Schizosaccharomyces pombe: one gene and its partner. The protein of the gene in region 1 interacts with the protein of each later gene in a pairwise test. Each region holds a gene or a part of one and is shown in the gene's direction. Other genes may lie near its edges.

Region 1 (8,851 bases):
AGTTATTACCGTTACAATAGTATTCTAGTAATTCCCATCAAAGGGACTAATCAGGCTAGTTAATAGCTATTTGTATTGTTTTCTATGTACTTCTTTGGTGACAACAAGGAAAAGTGGAAAAGTATAAGATACTTGGAAAAATTTAATCAAAATCTCAAAACTCATAATTTCAGTGAAAAGAATATAGTCGGATGTATATATCCTTCCAAAATATCGCATTTGTAAGCTTTGGAACGAGATTTAAAAGAAACAACGTAGATTGCTAAAGGGGAATATGTGAAGATCATATGTAAGCTATAAAAGTAATTTGCACAACAAAAGGCAATCTCCAAACAATCCGAGATATTTGGGTGAAGTAAAGTTTCACTGAAGAAGGTGGTAAGAAATCGTCATTACCATATTCAATTGTAGTCCAGACACCGATATGTGAAAGAAATTGGTAAGAAAAAGGAAAATGTTTGCTTTGTAACAAAACATCACTATAAATTTCTTTATAGTACTGAATACCGAGAATTTTGAATAACCAAGTAGATTTGAAATTTACGATTTTAAAAAATAAGGCTGGCATAAATAATGACTACTTCCAGCTTTTTGCAACGTCAAAAGCCCAAACAAATTCATGATGGACCACTTTATCATCATCAACAAACTTTCCATTGGCTTCATAATGTCCGCGAGCCAGCATACCTGTAGGTGCCTCATCTGGTTCAGAGGTAAAATCATAAGGTGTTTCAGAAGGTCCATAGGAGCCAATCATGGTAGATGTTTTGTCAACAACAAAGCCACGTCTGCGAACAGTTTGGACATATCTTAAGCCTGAAATTACTTCGTGTTGTACACGAAATTTAACACCAATCTTAAACTCGCTTCCTTCCTTAATAGTGAACCCTTTCTTGCGGATTTGTTCGACACTTGCTGCATCTTCCATGTTAACATCAACTGGGTCACGGCCGTCAACAAGTAAACTCAGCTTTAAAATAACAACTGTTCTACGATCATTCGAGGGTGAATAACCTGTTCCCGTGATACCCAGAGATGCTTTCCATTTCTGCAATGATTCATCTTCGGCATCCATCTTCATATATTCATTAAGTGATTTCTTTTCTCCCAGAGAAACCGGAGGTCCATGCTCAAATGTATCATCCTCTAGTTCAGGGTTATGTTGATCAGCGGATACTTCATTGTTAACACTCATTTTAAAACAACGCAATAGAATTTAATTATCTGCCAGTAGCTAAACCAAGGACAATTTGTTTTTATAAAAAAAGTTCAGATTCGTTGTTTTGTTAATGTACTGTTCTAGAGTTGAAATTGGCAAAGGGAACATAGCATATTGCTATCTCAACAATATAACCAGATGTACTACTATGTTAACATTTCGGTGACTTGGATTATTTTAAATATAACGGAGATGCAGAAAAGCGTGAGAAAAGTATAAGATTTTTTTTTTCTTTCTATTCCCTTCGATTTTTTTTTTAGTGTCATTATCCATGCTTTTATACATGTAAATATGTTGGAGTAATCCCAAGCATTGACGTCTTATGAGACGTAAAAAAGAAGGAACTTTCTATGCTAGCTTTTCTGTAGGCAGATGTTCTTTACATGAAATTGTTTGAGCAGCAAGTTATAGCTGTAGTCGATAACTATTATACAACCAGATTTGATACGTTTAGCGGAAAAATTATCAATCACTTCAGGAATTATTATTAAAAAACTTACGAAGGAAGTCCACTGAAAATAAAAATCATGTGAAAGATACGCTTAACTATACCAAACCCTAATTAATTACAAAAACGGCGGTTGGTGTTAAAGTGAAAATTAGTAAGCCAATCTGTGTGCTATTATTTTTAATACCAAGACATTCCTGGCACGGAGTTCTGCTCCCATTGTAATTTTCCTCGTAGACCACACTCTTGAAAGACAATTACTAGATTACCTTGATTAAGGTACTGTTTGTTTAATATCAACTTCTTTTTTGTTTTTAAAGATCATTTTGAAAGGGGTTTAATAGATTAGCATTTCGTTATACGATAAGGTTTTAGTCAACTACCCGATTTCTACTACCAGGAACCAGTTTCCTTGAGCTTTTACCATTTGCTAGTATAGGGTGTTTTATATATTATTCTATTTATGTTGAATTGAACCATAAGTGTCTCCTTCGCATAAATACACTAGCCTTTTTTATTCCTGTTTTATTTTAGAACACTATCCATTTGAGAGGAAAATTTGGGCAAGGTAATGGCAATGTCGTCTATCACCTCTGCTAAACAATTAAATGCCGAAGAGCTTTTAGATGAATGCGATTCTTTTAATGGGGAATTTGTTCCTGGAACAATTCCCTTCCGTGCAAATGGCGCTGCCATTGGATATGTTACCCCTTTGGTACTAGAAATCCTCATAAAGGCGGATAATTTCAAATTCAATTGGGTTTATGTTCCAGGAGAGTATATTGAAATAAACGCATCTACTTTTGAAAAAAGAACTGACATCTTAGCTAAGGTACTGGAGCATTGGCGCCATAACAATACATTTGGAATTGCTGATCAATGGAGGAATGAATTATATACTGTTTATGGAAAATCTAAAAAGCCTGTATTGGCCGTTGAACGGGGCGGATTTTGGTTATTCGGTTTTTTGAGCACTGGTGTGCATTGTACCATGTATATTCCAGCAACTAAAGAACATCCTCTTCGTATTTGGGTACCACGAAGATCACCGACTAAACAAACGTGGCCCAATTATTTAGATAATAGCGTTGCCGGCGGAATTGCTCATGGTGATTCAGTCATAGGCACTATGATAAAGGAATTTTCTGAAGAAGCTAATTTGGACGTTTCTTCTATGAATCTTATTCCTTGTGGCACTGTCTCCTACATCAAAATGGAGAAAAGGCATTGGATTCAGCCCGAGTTACAATATGTATTCGATTTACCTGTTGATGATCTTGTTATCCCAAGAATTAATGATGGAGAAGTCGCTGGTTTCAGTTTATTACCATTGAATCAAGTACTTCATGAACTTGAATTAAAAAGTTTTAAGCCAAATTGTGCTCTGGTTCTTTTAGACTTTTTAATCCGTCATGGTATCATTACTCCACAGCATCCTCAGTATCTCCAAACTTTAGAACGGATACATAGACCGTTGCCTGTTCCTGTTGGAAAATATGAAAGAGGGGATTCTTTTGAAGATACTTCAAAGAAAGCTGAAACGTGTGTTCCTGCAAAACCCCAAAAAGCCACTCATCAGCTAGCTCCATGTAAGGCTTGGTTACGTGACTATGATACTGATCAAAAGTTTGCGGTATTACTATTAAATCAACCCATAGATATACCGGATGATAGATTTCGTACTTTATGGAAAAGAGCTAGTATCCGAGTCTGCGCAGACGGTGGTGCTAACCAATTGAGAAATTACGATTCTTCGCTCAAACCGGATTATGTCGTTGGTGACTTTGATTCGTTAACAGATGAAACTAAAGCTTATTATAAAGAAATGGGAGTCAACATTGTATTCGACCCATGCCAAAACACCACTGACTTTATGAAATGCCATAAAATAATTAAAGAACATGGGATTGATACTATTTTTGTATTATGTGGCATGGGTGGAAGAGTTGATCATGCCATTGGTAATTTAAACCATCTATTCTGGGCCGCCTCGATTTCTGAAAAGAATGAAGTATTTCTATTAACTGAATTGAATGTATCAACTTTGCTTCAACCCGGAATAAATCATGTTGATTGTCACGACAACATTGGTTTACATTGCGGTCTTCTGCCAGTAGGACAGAGTGTGTATGTTAAAAAAACCAGCGGCCTTGAGTGGAATATTGAGGATCGCATTTGTCAATTTGGAGGACTCGTCAGCTCTTGCAATGTAGTGACAAAAGCAACGGTGACTATAGAGGTCAACAATTTTATAGTATGGACAATGGAAACACGTCTATAAGACCTGTAAGTAAGAAACTCAGAAAGAATATTCATTATTCCCAACAGCTCAAAAAAATTAAGATATTTATTTAGATATAAAAAATATAAAACATCTATAGAGTATAAGCGGTAATGGTCATAAAGCAAAAAGATAATTGATTAGAGTAATGAAATAAAATAGAATTTTAGTAAAGCCAACTAACATTTTGAACTGCAAGATACATCTCAGAAAGTGAAGAAATAGAAAAAAATCATAATTTTTCATATTGTTGAGCTTGACATGTCATTTTTATCCTCCTCGATACACCCGACAGTTCAGAATCCAAGCTGGACAATTAAAGGTATTTGAATGTATAACCCTAAAACCCATCACAAATACCATAGCTACTACGCTAATGTTGATATACAAAAATTATACATAGTTAAGAGATCGTATACATATTTATACTCATTAACTACTCTGAGGATGACTGCTAAAGTGACTGTCTTTTAGAACACCTACCCTGAAGAAAACGAATGTATCCAGAATAAATCATATGTAGGAGGACATCGGGAAAAGAGGGGGGTAGGAACAAGAACCGAATCAAATAATATAGTTAGAAATAAAAAAAAGTCTACACTTCATCAACGTTATCATCCCAATCATTATCACGCATGCTTCTGGGAGCGTAGTCTTGCAATCCTGCTACGTAGTTTGCACCACAGTAGGCGATACCTGCAAGAAGAACTAAAAAGCCTAGGAAAGAAGTAAACCCGGAGTAAGAAAAGAGTAAAGTACCCATGAAAGCGTAGAAGAAGCCCCTTCCTAAGAATGAGAACATGAACGATCCATATTTAATAGCAATAGGAGGAATTTCCTTTTCTAAACCAATAGTTCCCAAACCGAAAACGATGATGAACAATGCAAGTAAAGCGTTTACGAAGCTAAATGAAAATAACTTGATAAATCCGCTTAAAACGAAGATACCACCTACGCCCAAATTAATGGCACTAAACATTTTTGTTTTATCCATTGTGAATTAAGTGTATGCAACCAATATTAAATTTTTCAAGCAATATGTATTTTAGTCGATGTTTGCTTAAAGACAAAGAGAAATGCAAGTTACTAAGCCTGCCTATGCTTACCGATGCGGTCATGCATATTTACGAACTATTGAAATACGGTAAATAAAAATAACGAATTCCATAATTCTCAACCAACTTTTTGTTGTTTACAGAAAATGAATAATTCAATTCATCGAAAATGCATTTTGTTTTCTATAGCATTCTTTGTACTGTTTTTGAAGTTAAAAACACTATCATTTAGTAAATAATGTACTTTCGACCCGGCTTTTTTTTGAGACAACTGTTGTTGACAATTTTAAGGTCTGTGGGTCAATTTATATATTTGTCAAACGTTCGTAAACAAATGTATTTGTATCTTAGTTTCATACGAGCTCCTTTAGCTATATGTGATCTACTCTCACTCGGGATCTACAGGGCTGTAAAATTTTTTGCACTCAAGTTTCACGCGATTATTATCAGATGCACCTGAATAAAAAAGAATAAAGTAAAATAAAAAGCCGAATGTTTTATAACGTAGTAAAATTCCTTCTTATTTTGATCGCTTTGCCATTCATTTGATTATGTTTATAATGATAATTTCACGTGCAATGTCAACTTTGATAGACGGCTACATCTATTTCTAATTCGTAACGCTATAAAAAAAAACTCCATTTTAAACTGAGAATAAAGCAAGAAGTCGATTAGCCGAATATAGATATCAGCATGATTCGTTTTAAACGGCCCAAAGCCTTGTATATATTTGAGTAATTTTCTACTGTACTTAATTGTCTGTAATTAAACAACTATTTGTTACTCCTACCTTGTTACACTTGGATTTAATACTCTGGAATTAGTGTACTAACTCCTAAATAAATATTTAAGTAGTATTTTTCTTTAAGATATTTCTTTAATAAACATTCTCTTCTAATGAAAAGAAAAGCGTCATTATTGGTATTTTAGTTTTCAGAGCAAAGAGGTACTTAACATTTATTATGTCGCAATTATTTTATATATATATTATATTAATATTTTGTAATGAGAAACCTAGGCCTAATAGTGTAGTGGTTAACATACCTCTTTCGGGTAATCCCCACTTGTATGCTGAGTTTAGAGGTGATCCCTGGTTCGAATCCTGGTTAGGCCCCTTTTTATACTGGGCTTGCTGTATAAATTTATCTGATTAATTTTGAAACTACGCAAACCAACTTTCAATAATTAAAAAGTTTTCCTTACACCTTGCTTGATTACCTTTTAATAGATGTGAAATAAGAACTACTAAATTTGTGATAAATACCGAAAACAATCAGAAGAGTCGAAAAGAAGCATTCAAAAAATTGTGTAAATAACGAGTAGGTTTCTAATAATACGATAATTTCACAGGATGCCTATAATGGATCTGGCAGCTAATGAGCAAATCATTTTTACTTTTTTTTTTATTTAAAACATACGAAAAGATTCTCTTTTTTTGCTGCAAACAAAATTTACTGTAATTGAACCTAGAATTGGTAGCAAAGGCATTACACCGTATTACTGTAAACTTCACTAATGTTTGTGTTTTTAGGCGCATGATGAACATGATTACTCAAGAAAGTAACCAGCGACTATGTCAAATTTGCTTCTGATCATTGACTCGGTTTCACAAAAAATAAGAGACAGGAGGAAGTTGGAAGAGTTTGGACAGAATCCCGATGAAGAAATTGAGTCTTCATTGAAAGATGTTCGGCAAGAATTGCAAAAACTTAATGAGGAGCAATCGCGATTAGAGAAAAATGCACAAATCCCAGAGTACAGAGTACGAGAATCCGAAGCATTTCTTATTAGAATGCAAAGGAGGTTAGAGTCTGCTGAGGAAGAGTTTGAGAAGCAGCGGCGTGCATCCTCAATTCCTGCTGACGGAACAAGTGCCTTTTCTGCAAACCCGCAAGTTGCAAGTACGAATAATAAGTTAACTCCCCTTCCTTCTTTACAAAAAACGACTTCGAGTAGTGAGGGATCTGATATTGAGATGGAGGCCATGTATCCGGTTGATGGCAATGACCCTGATCCCATAAACGTAAACGTTTTGGCTCAAATGCATCAGCAAATGCTCAACGAACAAGAAGAATCTTTAGGAGGGATCGAAGCAAGTGTCCAAAGGCAAAAGCGGATGGGATATGCAATGAATACAGAATTGTCCGAACAAAATGTTTTACTAGATAATATGAATAATGATGCTGATCGAATTGAGAGGAGGTTTGATCATGCAAAAAATCGATTAAACAAGGTCAGCCGAAAGGCTAAACAGTATCCCAGATGCTTTATTATTTTGCTCCTTTGTGCGTTGTTATTACTTGTGGCTTCCATTTAGGGTGCAAATAAATATCACTTAGCAATTGTACTTGCTGTAACTCTGTTACACTTTCACTTAATTCTTTTATTTCACGTCCTCTTTGAACTAGGCTATATAGTTCTTTTATTTATATTTAATAACCGTGATATTTACGAACTTTTTTTTTACGATTTTGAAAATGTTTTTGTGATCTTCAACTTCTTTTGCTAAACGAACCTTCCCTTTATAGGGAATACAGAAATTAACTTTTTCGTACATTCCAGTTTCTAACCATTGACTGTCTTTCTACTTTAGTAATTATTTTTCTGCTAGCGCATTTCTTATCGAAATCATTTTTGTGTTCTTTTAAGGGCCGTCCCCCTTGTTCACAAAGCTAGTTTTGACGACTTAAATCAAGTGAATATAGTGCATGCAGAGTGAATGCTTAATAACCATTTGTTACAAACTTTGTTTCGCTAATAACTCCTTATTTGACATTTGAATAAATAACCTATTAGACTTTCAAAATTTTTAGATTCAGGGCAGTAAACAATAAACAACAATATCTTCAATTAGCTGTATCAATTTATTTTCAGAAGTTTTGCTATATTATTCCTTCATCTCATTAAAAAATATTCTCTTCTATTATTAAACATACGTAGTCATGTTATCATTATCATTATTAAGGAAAAGTTTGAACGAGTAGATTCTTTCTTGAGAATTAAGGGAACATGTGCTTGAATGCCATTTTTTTCATCTTAAATATAAAGCCTCCGTTGCTATTGTTAACCATATCACGCTGAACCTTTTTTGATAATAAAATATCAGAAGCAACCCTCTTAACTAATGTGTTGTGAACCTCTCAGCATTGCATATCTTAGCGTAATTAAATATTCGGTAAAAGAGGATCGTTTTCCTATCAACAATTGAACCCCAAATCAAAATATTCAAAACTTCAGATCAATCCTTAAATTAATTAAAAACCGAATCAAAGCTAGTTGATTTTTGTTTAAAAAAACTAAAAGATGCATTTCATTAAGAAACAAATAGTATAAAATATAAAGATATGAAAAAAATTAAAATGAGGGCGGTTGATTCCGATTATTATCTGTAAGCAAACCGGAAGTTTCGGATACAGGATAATTAAAGTCTGAAGACCAATTTGCCCCATTGTTATTGAATGAATTAAAATTAAAGAAAGGAATTGAATTGGAATTATCTAATTTCTCAGACTGAAAATTAGTCTCCATTTGATCCCCTTCGTTGTTCAATGAATTTGAATTCTCAACGCCTTCAAAATTGTAAGAGTCAAAATATCCCATCGAAGCGAAGGCCTGATCTTTATCGGTAATTTCTTCAGATAATGAAATGCCTTCTTCTTTGATGCCTTCTGATATTCTTCCTTCCATATCAACATAGCCTTTTGGAGGATAAGCTTCAGATGGATATTGCTCTGTTCCTAATGGCGAATTAACATGTGCATATGTGGGCAATCCAGAAGGGATCGAAGAAGGACTCAACGTTAATGGTTGCTGCATTAAAGATTCAGGGCTATAACAGCTCGGTGAAA
Region 2 (7,842 bases), on another chromosome or scaffold:
AAAGTCGACATCTAATCACAGCACACCTGAGCGAACTTTTGCATCTGATGCTAAAAACCATTCCCCTAAAGGTCCAACAACGACAAGTTTTTCGAGAAACGAAACACAATCATCTCCCCATAGTCATAGTGCCTCGATTATTTCAGACGGTAGTGATATGGACATTGCGTCCCCTATTCGGTCAACCGAATCAGATATGGTCTCTGAGGCATTGAATGCTGGCCATCCGCCTCCTTCTCTGTATCCGGAGAATGATGATTTAAGTATCCAGAATCCAACAAAAGCCTTACCTGAAGCAGAAAAGGCACTTGATGTTCACGATGCCACGAGAGAGCAGGTTAATGATAGAGAGGAAACTAACATGGATTTGACTATCCAATTCCAAGAAGCAGATTCGTTTTTATCACATTCCGAATCAATTAAAGGTCTTAGCTCTAGCGAGCAAGGTACTGTTTATAGTTTAAAAGCTTCTCATGACCCTTCAAACCAAACTCAACTTTCATCCCCTAACAAATCATCTAGTCCAACTAGTATTGAAATTTCGGATTTCTCCAAAAATAACGAAAATCACGATCAGTCGGAAAATAAAGAAGAAGAAGAAGATATGATGCTAACTCGACCTATTGAAATTCCGCAACACTTTTCCCCCATCGCTCGCCCTTTAACTTCCCAAGAAGCTATTGTTGACATGGATATTACCTCTAATAACATTAATTTATCTCCAGTGTCTCATTTTTCCAATGGCTTAGATTTACAAAACTTAGAAGAAGCGCCTATGAACCTTACCCGACCAATTAATGCTAATCCTCACTTAACTAATCATTCTCCGAACGATTTAACTAATGGAGAAGAAGAAATGGATACCACCTCCGCCTTTAATATCGAAAACTCACATTTAACTCTCCTTTCCCCCATTCGTCCATCGTCACGATCCATGGAAGAGCAAATAATGGACTTGACACAACCCATTAGCTCTACAAATGCACCCACCCATTTGAATGAAGATGATTTAAATCAATTTACCTCAAATATATCCTCTTCTTCAAAACCGAGAAAGGATAATAACAAGACTGCCAATTCTTCAAAGCCCATTCCCGACAGTGAGGACTTTATGGACATTACTAGACCTTTCAATATATTATCCCCTTCTAAAGAAGCACTTTCCGAAGAGCAACCAATGGAATTAACCTCAACAGTTTTTCCTTGTGAGAATTCTACATCTCATCTTGAGGTGGAAGAAGCTGCTATGGACGAAACAGTGGCTTTTCAAATCCGTGGAAACAATGTTGAGTTACCTTCAGCAGACAAGGAAAATGCCGAGAGAGAAGAAATACCCTCATATAGTGATAAGTCAGAAAATTTCAATACTACCTCCTTTACCAACCATGAACGGTCACCAAATGGGAACAATAATCTAAAATTTTCGAAAGATCCTAACTCTTCTTCTCCAAGTAGACATGTGGTAGCGACTCCTACTGATAAGCTTGGTACTCGGAAAAGACGCTTAAGATATAGCACTTCAAGTTTTGATCAAAGTACCTTGCGTCGCAATCGTCTTGCAACAATCCGTAATGCTCGAAAATCAATTTCAACTTTGAATGACAGAGAACTTCTACCGGTTAACTTTTTCGAAAAAAAAGTAAATTCTGGTCTCTATAAATCGGTTGAGCGATCCGAAAATTATCGTCTAGGAGCTACTCCACTTACCGCAGAGAAGCCATTCACCACAGAAAAGCCGCTTTCAAGTCTTCCTGAAGAAGTTTCAAGGCAACCCACTGATGACAAAGGCGAACAAGTGTCTAATGCAGATGTTGATTCTGGATTGAGTAAAACAGAGCGACTAACAATTCAACAGACTAACGAAATTAAGCACGTTCCAACTAATACGACTTCTTCTGTTAAGCTTCCTCAACAACCTTCGAATGAGGATGAAAAAGAGCGTATAACAACTGCAGATTACGCCGATTCAACTAGTTTGGAGCGATTGGAATCTCAGGAACCCAACCGGAATGAACTTGTTCAAGTTGGTTCGTCAAATGCAGGTAATACAACTTCCGTGGGCATGAATGAACATGAGAAGTCACCCGTCAAATTATCAAAAGGTGTGAGCAATGTTGATACATCGTTGGGCGCTTCGACTATTAACACGAACATTTTGAATCAAGACTCTGGTCCAAATGAAGAAATACCTGTTGGTAATGAGCCAGAATTTGATACGATGCCAACTCTACCAAACGTCGAGCCGATAAGCCTATCAGATTTTCTTAAAATGACCGGAATTGAATTTTTGGATAATCTTACTATTGCTAAAAGACGAGAAACCCTATTGCCAAATGCTGAAGAAAATAAGAAATGCAGTATCCAAGAACTTTTGGAATCTTTTTACATACAATTCCCTTTGTTAGAGTTATACAAATTTAGTTGTCAGCAATTACAGGATTATATTGCCGAAGGGAAGGATTTTGTTACTAAAATTGAAGAGGAAACTTTGAAAGAGAACCCGTTACTATTCTATGAGTATAGGAAAGCATCCAGTGATATGAGGGTTTTAATGGATTCACAATTTTTAATGATGAAAACTTTTGCTAGACTTCAAGCAAAAGGTGATTGGTACGAATGGCGTGAGGGTTTGATGCAAGGAATCAAACATGAATTAAATTTAAATTTAACTGGGATGCAAAGAAGCTTGACCCATTTAATGGATGTCGCGAATGTTATTCATCCGTATGCGCAGGAAATTCAAGAGAGATACAATGGTAGTATTACTACAGTACAGACATTAAAGAAGCAGAAGGAATTTGCAAATCAGTATGACTCAACTCTTCTAGCGCAGGCGCAAGAAAAGTTAGAGAAACTCAAGGTTGAGGTTGAGAGGAGACGTCGGCTTCTGAGTGAAAAAGAAGAAAGAAGAAAGGAGTTGGCAATAAAGATAGAACAAGTGACAAACTCTTGCTCTGATTTGGAATTACGTACCAACGCTGAACAAGATTTTTATGCGAAAAACCAAGATTTTGAATTTGACGAAATTAAGCGATACGAGGAGCAGTTGTTAAATCTTAAAAATGAACTTGGCTGGACCATAGTTTCTTTGACCGCGGGCGGAATTAAATTAGCTACAAATAACACTGCTCTTTCTCCTTATTCAGCCGAGGTTACGGTTGAGATTTTGAGGCAAAATTTCCAAGTTAACGTTGATATTGCCTGTAAGTTCCCTAACGAAAGTAATGCTTGCAGCTCAAATGTGCTCGAGCATGTTGCATCGTCGTTTTCTAAATGGCATTCCAAGGTATTTTCTAGGAACTTACGTCTTCTGAAGAAGTATCTTAACGATGTTTCAATTTGTTGGGAACAAATTGTTTATCTTGTCCAAGATTTCCAGCGATTATGGTACCATTGGCCCTTTTTGTCAGTTGAAAATGATGATAAGTCTATTATCATAAATGTTGAGCTATACCTGCGTTCGGTATCATCTAAGGTAAAGGTTGTTTTCGGTCTCCCAATTGATACTATCTACCAAACTACTGAAGTAGGAAAGTTTTATGCTTCTACATCAGTCGCTGTGAAACAGATGTATGCGGAAAGTGAAGGAGACTCTTATGTTAGTGAGGTTTTGAATACTCTTTCGGAAGTGGTGCATTGTACATCAACTTATGCCCTTTCGTCTGCTTGTCTTACTGTTTGGAACAAATACAGCTAGATATTAATGGGAATGATTAGCTATGCTGCGCCGAAGCGACTTCCTTTCCCAATATTCATTTTGTGCTTAACGCTTGGAAATATCATTTATCCTTGTTGTATACTAGTTCATTCGTTTTCGTTAATTCACATGTTACTAAAGAAAATGTATATATTTTATGCTATTTAATATTGGTGAAATAATAATGGTAGATCTTGACTGATAATGAAATTATAAATCTTTTTGTTAAACCCGTAATGCGCTACAAAATAAAGTGTTTAGTTAATATATAAATAAACTATCCATAATTAAAAGATTCTCGGATGTGCAAATCTGGTGTAGTAAAGTTTCACATTGATCTGATAAGTACGGGATCGACATCTTACGTTCTCCTAGATACATATATACACAATCGATAGAAGAGACCGATCCTAAACAAAACAAAGATCTTAACTAATTTAAGAGAATTGGACGGATATTTAGATTTTTATAATTGAAAGTCAGACGCTGCTTACAAAATTATGAGTTTGCAAGCTCAAATTTTGCAGAATTGAAATAGGAGGTTTTTTAGATTTTTAGGCTTCGCTCGGATTATTAAGTTATCCATTTTTTATTTTTGAACACAGTTTAATTAAGTAAGTCAAAGTTCCTGAACCTCGTCTGCAATTTCTGATAAAAATATTAATACACTTAAAAATAGATTGCATCCGCAATCGAAAGTTCACAGACAGCCGGTTGAGCCCTAATTTCCAGGTTTTCTACATATTTACTTCTTTAGAAGTTTTGTTTTATATATAGATATCCCTTTTCTTGAATTAACAGTACAAAACTCACTATGCTGAAAACGTTCAATTCGTCAGCGCGCTCATGTCGAGCGATGCCGCGTTTTCTACCGACATTGTGCAGCAGATTGCACGAGAAATCTGGCTTTGAAATTCGGAATGCTGTAAGAATGCATAGTGTTGGCTCTCACACTCATACCCATGACCATGGATCGGACAAAGAAATGTTAGAGCTTGTTAAAGCTTTGAAAAAAGAAGGGAAATCTCCAGAGCTGAAACTTGCGTGGTTAGGATTGTAAGTATGGAAAAGAAAAAAAGAAAGTCATCTTTTCTTATCAATTCGGAGCATAGCGGCAACAAAGGAACTGTAGCCCTAAAGTTAGCTAAATAACTCATGATATTTAATGAGACCATTTTTAAACTGGTACTCTCTTATGCTTTCGTTCTACGACAGATCTTTTGACAATTTCTTCCCTTTATTATAGATATTCTTGACTATTAACACTTTTTATAGATACAGCAATATAGGCTTAGCAGCCGCCAAAGGTATCGGCGGAGTTGCTCTACAATCTAGCATTCTTGTCGCCGATGCTGCTCATCAATTAGGAGATACACTTTCGGACTTGGTAACATTGGCTACCTTGAAAATATGTAGCAAGAAGCCCACACAAAAGTACCCTGCCGGTTTTGGCAAATGGGAAACCATAGGTACATTCACCGTATCTGGTTTATTGGTGGCTGTATCTGTAGGCATTGCTCATTCATCGTTATCGAGATTGTATACTATACTATTCCCATACGCTGGTTCAGAACACACGCACATTGGTCATTCTCATAATCCTTCTCAACTATTGTTTGAACACCCCTTTATGGCACTTGGCCTTATATTTGGTAGTGTTGTTCTTAAAGAATGGCTCTTCCGAAAAAGTAAGTAATTTCACCTATTATTGGATTCTAATAGTATATTTAGCGAGAACGGTGGCTCAAAAAACAGATTCAAATATCTTACTAGCCAATGCCTGGCATCATAGAGCAGATGCATTGACGGGAATGGTTTCACTGCTTGCTTTATCCGGCACTTACTTTCTTAATGCTCCATGGCTAGATCCGTTTTTTGGTTGTTTAGTAAGTATTGTCGTTTTTAGTGCCGGCTTCAACTCTTCTAAAAAGGCCTTCTTGCAGCTTTTGGACCGAGCACCTTCCGAAGAGTTACGTATCGCAGTAACTGATGCTTTATTGAAGGGAGAAAAGCTTCCATATAAAATCGTTACTATATTAGGAAATGCACATGCCATGCATGTGATAATATCTGTTCCTCCATCCTTCACATCTCAACAGTCGTCCGAATTGGCACAAAAGGTAGAAAAGACTGTTTTGGATGCTATCCCTGCCCTTTCCAGTTGTATCGTGACACCACTTTCCTCTGACTCTAATCAGGTTCATAGATGGCAACACTTAAATGGGTCTTCTGGTGAACATTCGCATCCATCTCATGAGCACACTCATTAGATATTATACCTTGTAAATTTCGCAATCCATGCTTTGAAACTGATAGTAATAGAACATTTGAACATATCTGAATGATAGGTGTGTAGTAAGCAATTTTGAGTTTTCTGTGCTCTAGAATTTTTTTCAGATTAACAGTTGTACAAAAAACTCCGTGATCAATGAGTTTACATTTACACAGCTACTAAAACTATCGGAAAAAGTTATTATTAAATGCATTCATTGAAGAACGAGAGCTAAAATGCCCCAAAAAATTTTTTGACACAAGAAAAGAAGATTTCTAGAATAGTAGCACAAGCCTTTTTTTTCTCCCGAGGATAAATACGTCCCTATTTCTAAATCGTAAATTAATGGTATAGAGCTAAAAATTTAGTCCTTTTGCTTTTATTTTCTTTTCTTTACCATAGCCAAACGGCTTCGCTCACGTAAAACAAAAGAATTAGGAAAAGAACGAGGTGAATCGAACGAGCGATAGAACGTATTTGAAATTGGAACACTTCTTAAATTAAATGAGCTCCGCTACACTCCAGTCTTCATAACTGCCATCGGGTAAATATCGCCGGACTAGTAGAGGAATCTTTTTTTGTGCAAGCTCCTTCATGGCAATTTGCAAAGGATCAGTTTCACCTTCCAAATCAACTAAAACAGGTGCGTTCATACTAAAATAAAGAGTTAGAAATTAAAAGAAAGCTCAATTGAAAAGAAACAAAATTCATCATAATCAGACAATCCTAACTAGAAAATAAAAAAAAAATTTTTAACTATATCGTTTTTTTTTAAACTCCATGACTGCAAAACAGCATAACGATTCAGGACTTAAGCAATTACGCTAGTGCCTTTGTACGACGCTTTATTGTAAATCCACGCATCTACTCACCTAATTTGAAGTGCTCGAGTTCCCAAAATACGAGCGCGTTCATACTTTGTCATATAAGGAGTAGTGGTTCGGTCTTCCTTTGCTACCGCTTTACCAGATTGAGCTGTTTTTGAGCTAGCAACATCTTCAGTAATAACGGTAGTCGAAGGTTCACCAGGATGAGAGACGCCTTGCTGTGATTGCCCATTTTCATCGATCATCTCCAGTTCATCGACTTCCTCCTCCATAACAGCACCGTCCATTCCAAAGGCCTCATCCTCTTCATAGTCAGACATTTTGTATGCAATTGCCAAAGGAGAAAAGGGGGACAAGGGCGAATCTAAAAAATTGGAAGTTGACAGAGGAAATTCTCATACACCTAGTCAGCGTTCGAATTGTGAATCCGTGTTAAATCTCATTACTTTACACTACAATGCACTATTTACATCTTATATGTTTAATTCATAGAAAGATCGAACGCACGCTCCACTGAAACATTTCAGAGACTTTTTCTTTTATTATTCAAATTATTTTTTAAATCAATAATTTAATTTGATAAAATTGACTGATTGAGAGTCTATTTGTTACTATTACTTTATCATCTCTCTATAAGCATGTCTGTTACCTTTGCTACTTTGTAGAAATTAACTACTAGCTATTGTACCACGTCTCAGGTTAAACTTGTCGCATCCCAACGCATCGTTAATGAGTTCATCAAACGTGTAAACCCTCTTAAAAGGAACTTAATGTCAGCAATACTACACTACGCTATAATACACTACGTTGAGTATCACTATATGTCACATGTTCTAATTATATATCGTACCATGTATGATACGATATGGAGATTGATCTTAATGATAATCTATTAAGATCAATATTATCTGAATACTATAAATAGAGCTACTGCTGAACCTCGTTCCTCAGTTCAGTTATGAGCTATATTAGTGATAGGTAACATTATAACCCAGTTAATACAATACCTATACTCAGTTGCTACTTATACAACCTGTGTATCGTAA

Evidence for each region.
Region 2: the proteins of tnr3 (region 1) and mmt1 interact in a two-hybrid assay, tested with the Schizosaccharomyces pombe proteins (one large-scale study listed by BioGRID).

Annotation. Positions count from the first base shown.
Region 1 is NC_003424.3:1,312,190-1,321,040, reverse strand, and holds tnr3 (thiamine diphosphokinase Tnr3/ Nudix hydrolase fusion protein), read left to right. Parts: upstream 1-2,062; 5' UTR 2,063-2,238; coding exon 2,239-3,948; 3' UTR 3,949-4,060; downstream 4,061-8,851. Other genes in the region: Rho GDP dissociation inhibitor Rdi1, read right to left, coding at 578-1,195; tvp15 (COPI-coated vesicle-associated protein), read right to left, coding at 4,544-4,942; fsv1 (SNARE Stx8), read left to right, coding at 6,577-7,320; DNA-binding transcription factor, glucose starvation sensing, Rst2, read right to left, coding at 8,358-8,851.
Region 2 is NC_003421.2:782,375-790,216, reverse strand, and holds mmt1 (mitochondrial iron ion transporter), read left to right. Parts: upstream 1-4,070; 5' UTR 4,071-4,311; intron 4,312-4,376; 5' UTR 4,377-4,511; coding exon 4,512-4,753; intron 4,754-4,972; coding exon 4,973-5,385; intron 5,386-5,428; coding exon 5,429-5,967; 3' UTR 5,968-5,999; downstream 6,000-7,842. Other genes in the region: outer kinetochore KNL network protein, KNL-1 family member, blinkin, Spc7, read left to right, coding at 1-3,697; DNA-directed RNA polymerase subunit Rpb6, read right to left, coding at 6,470-6,623, 6,842-7,116.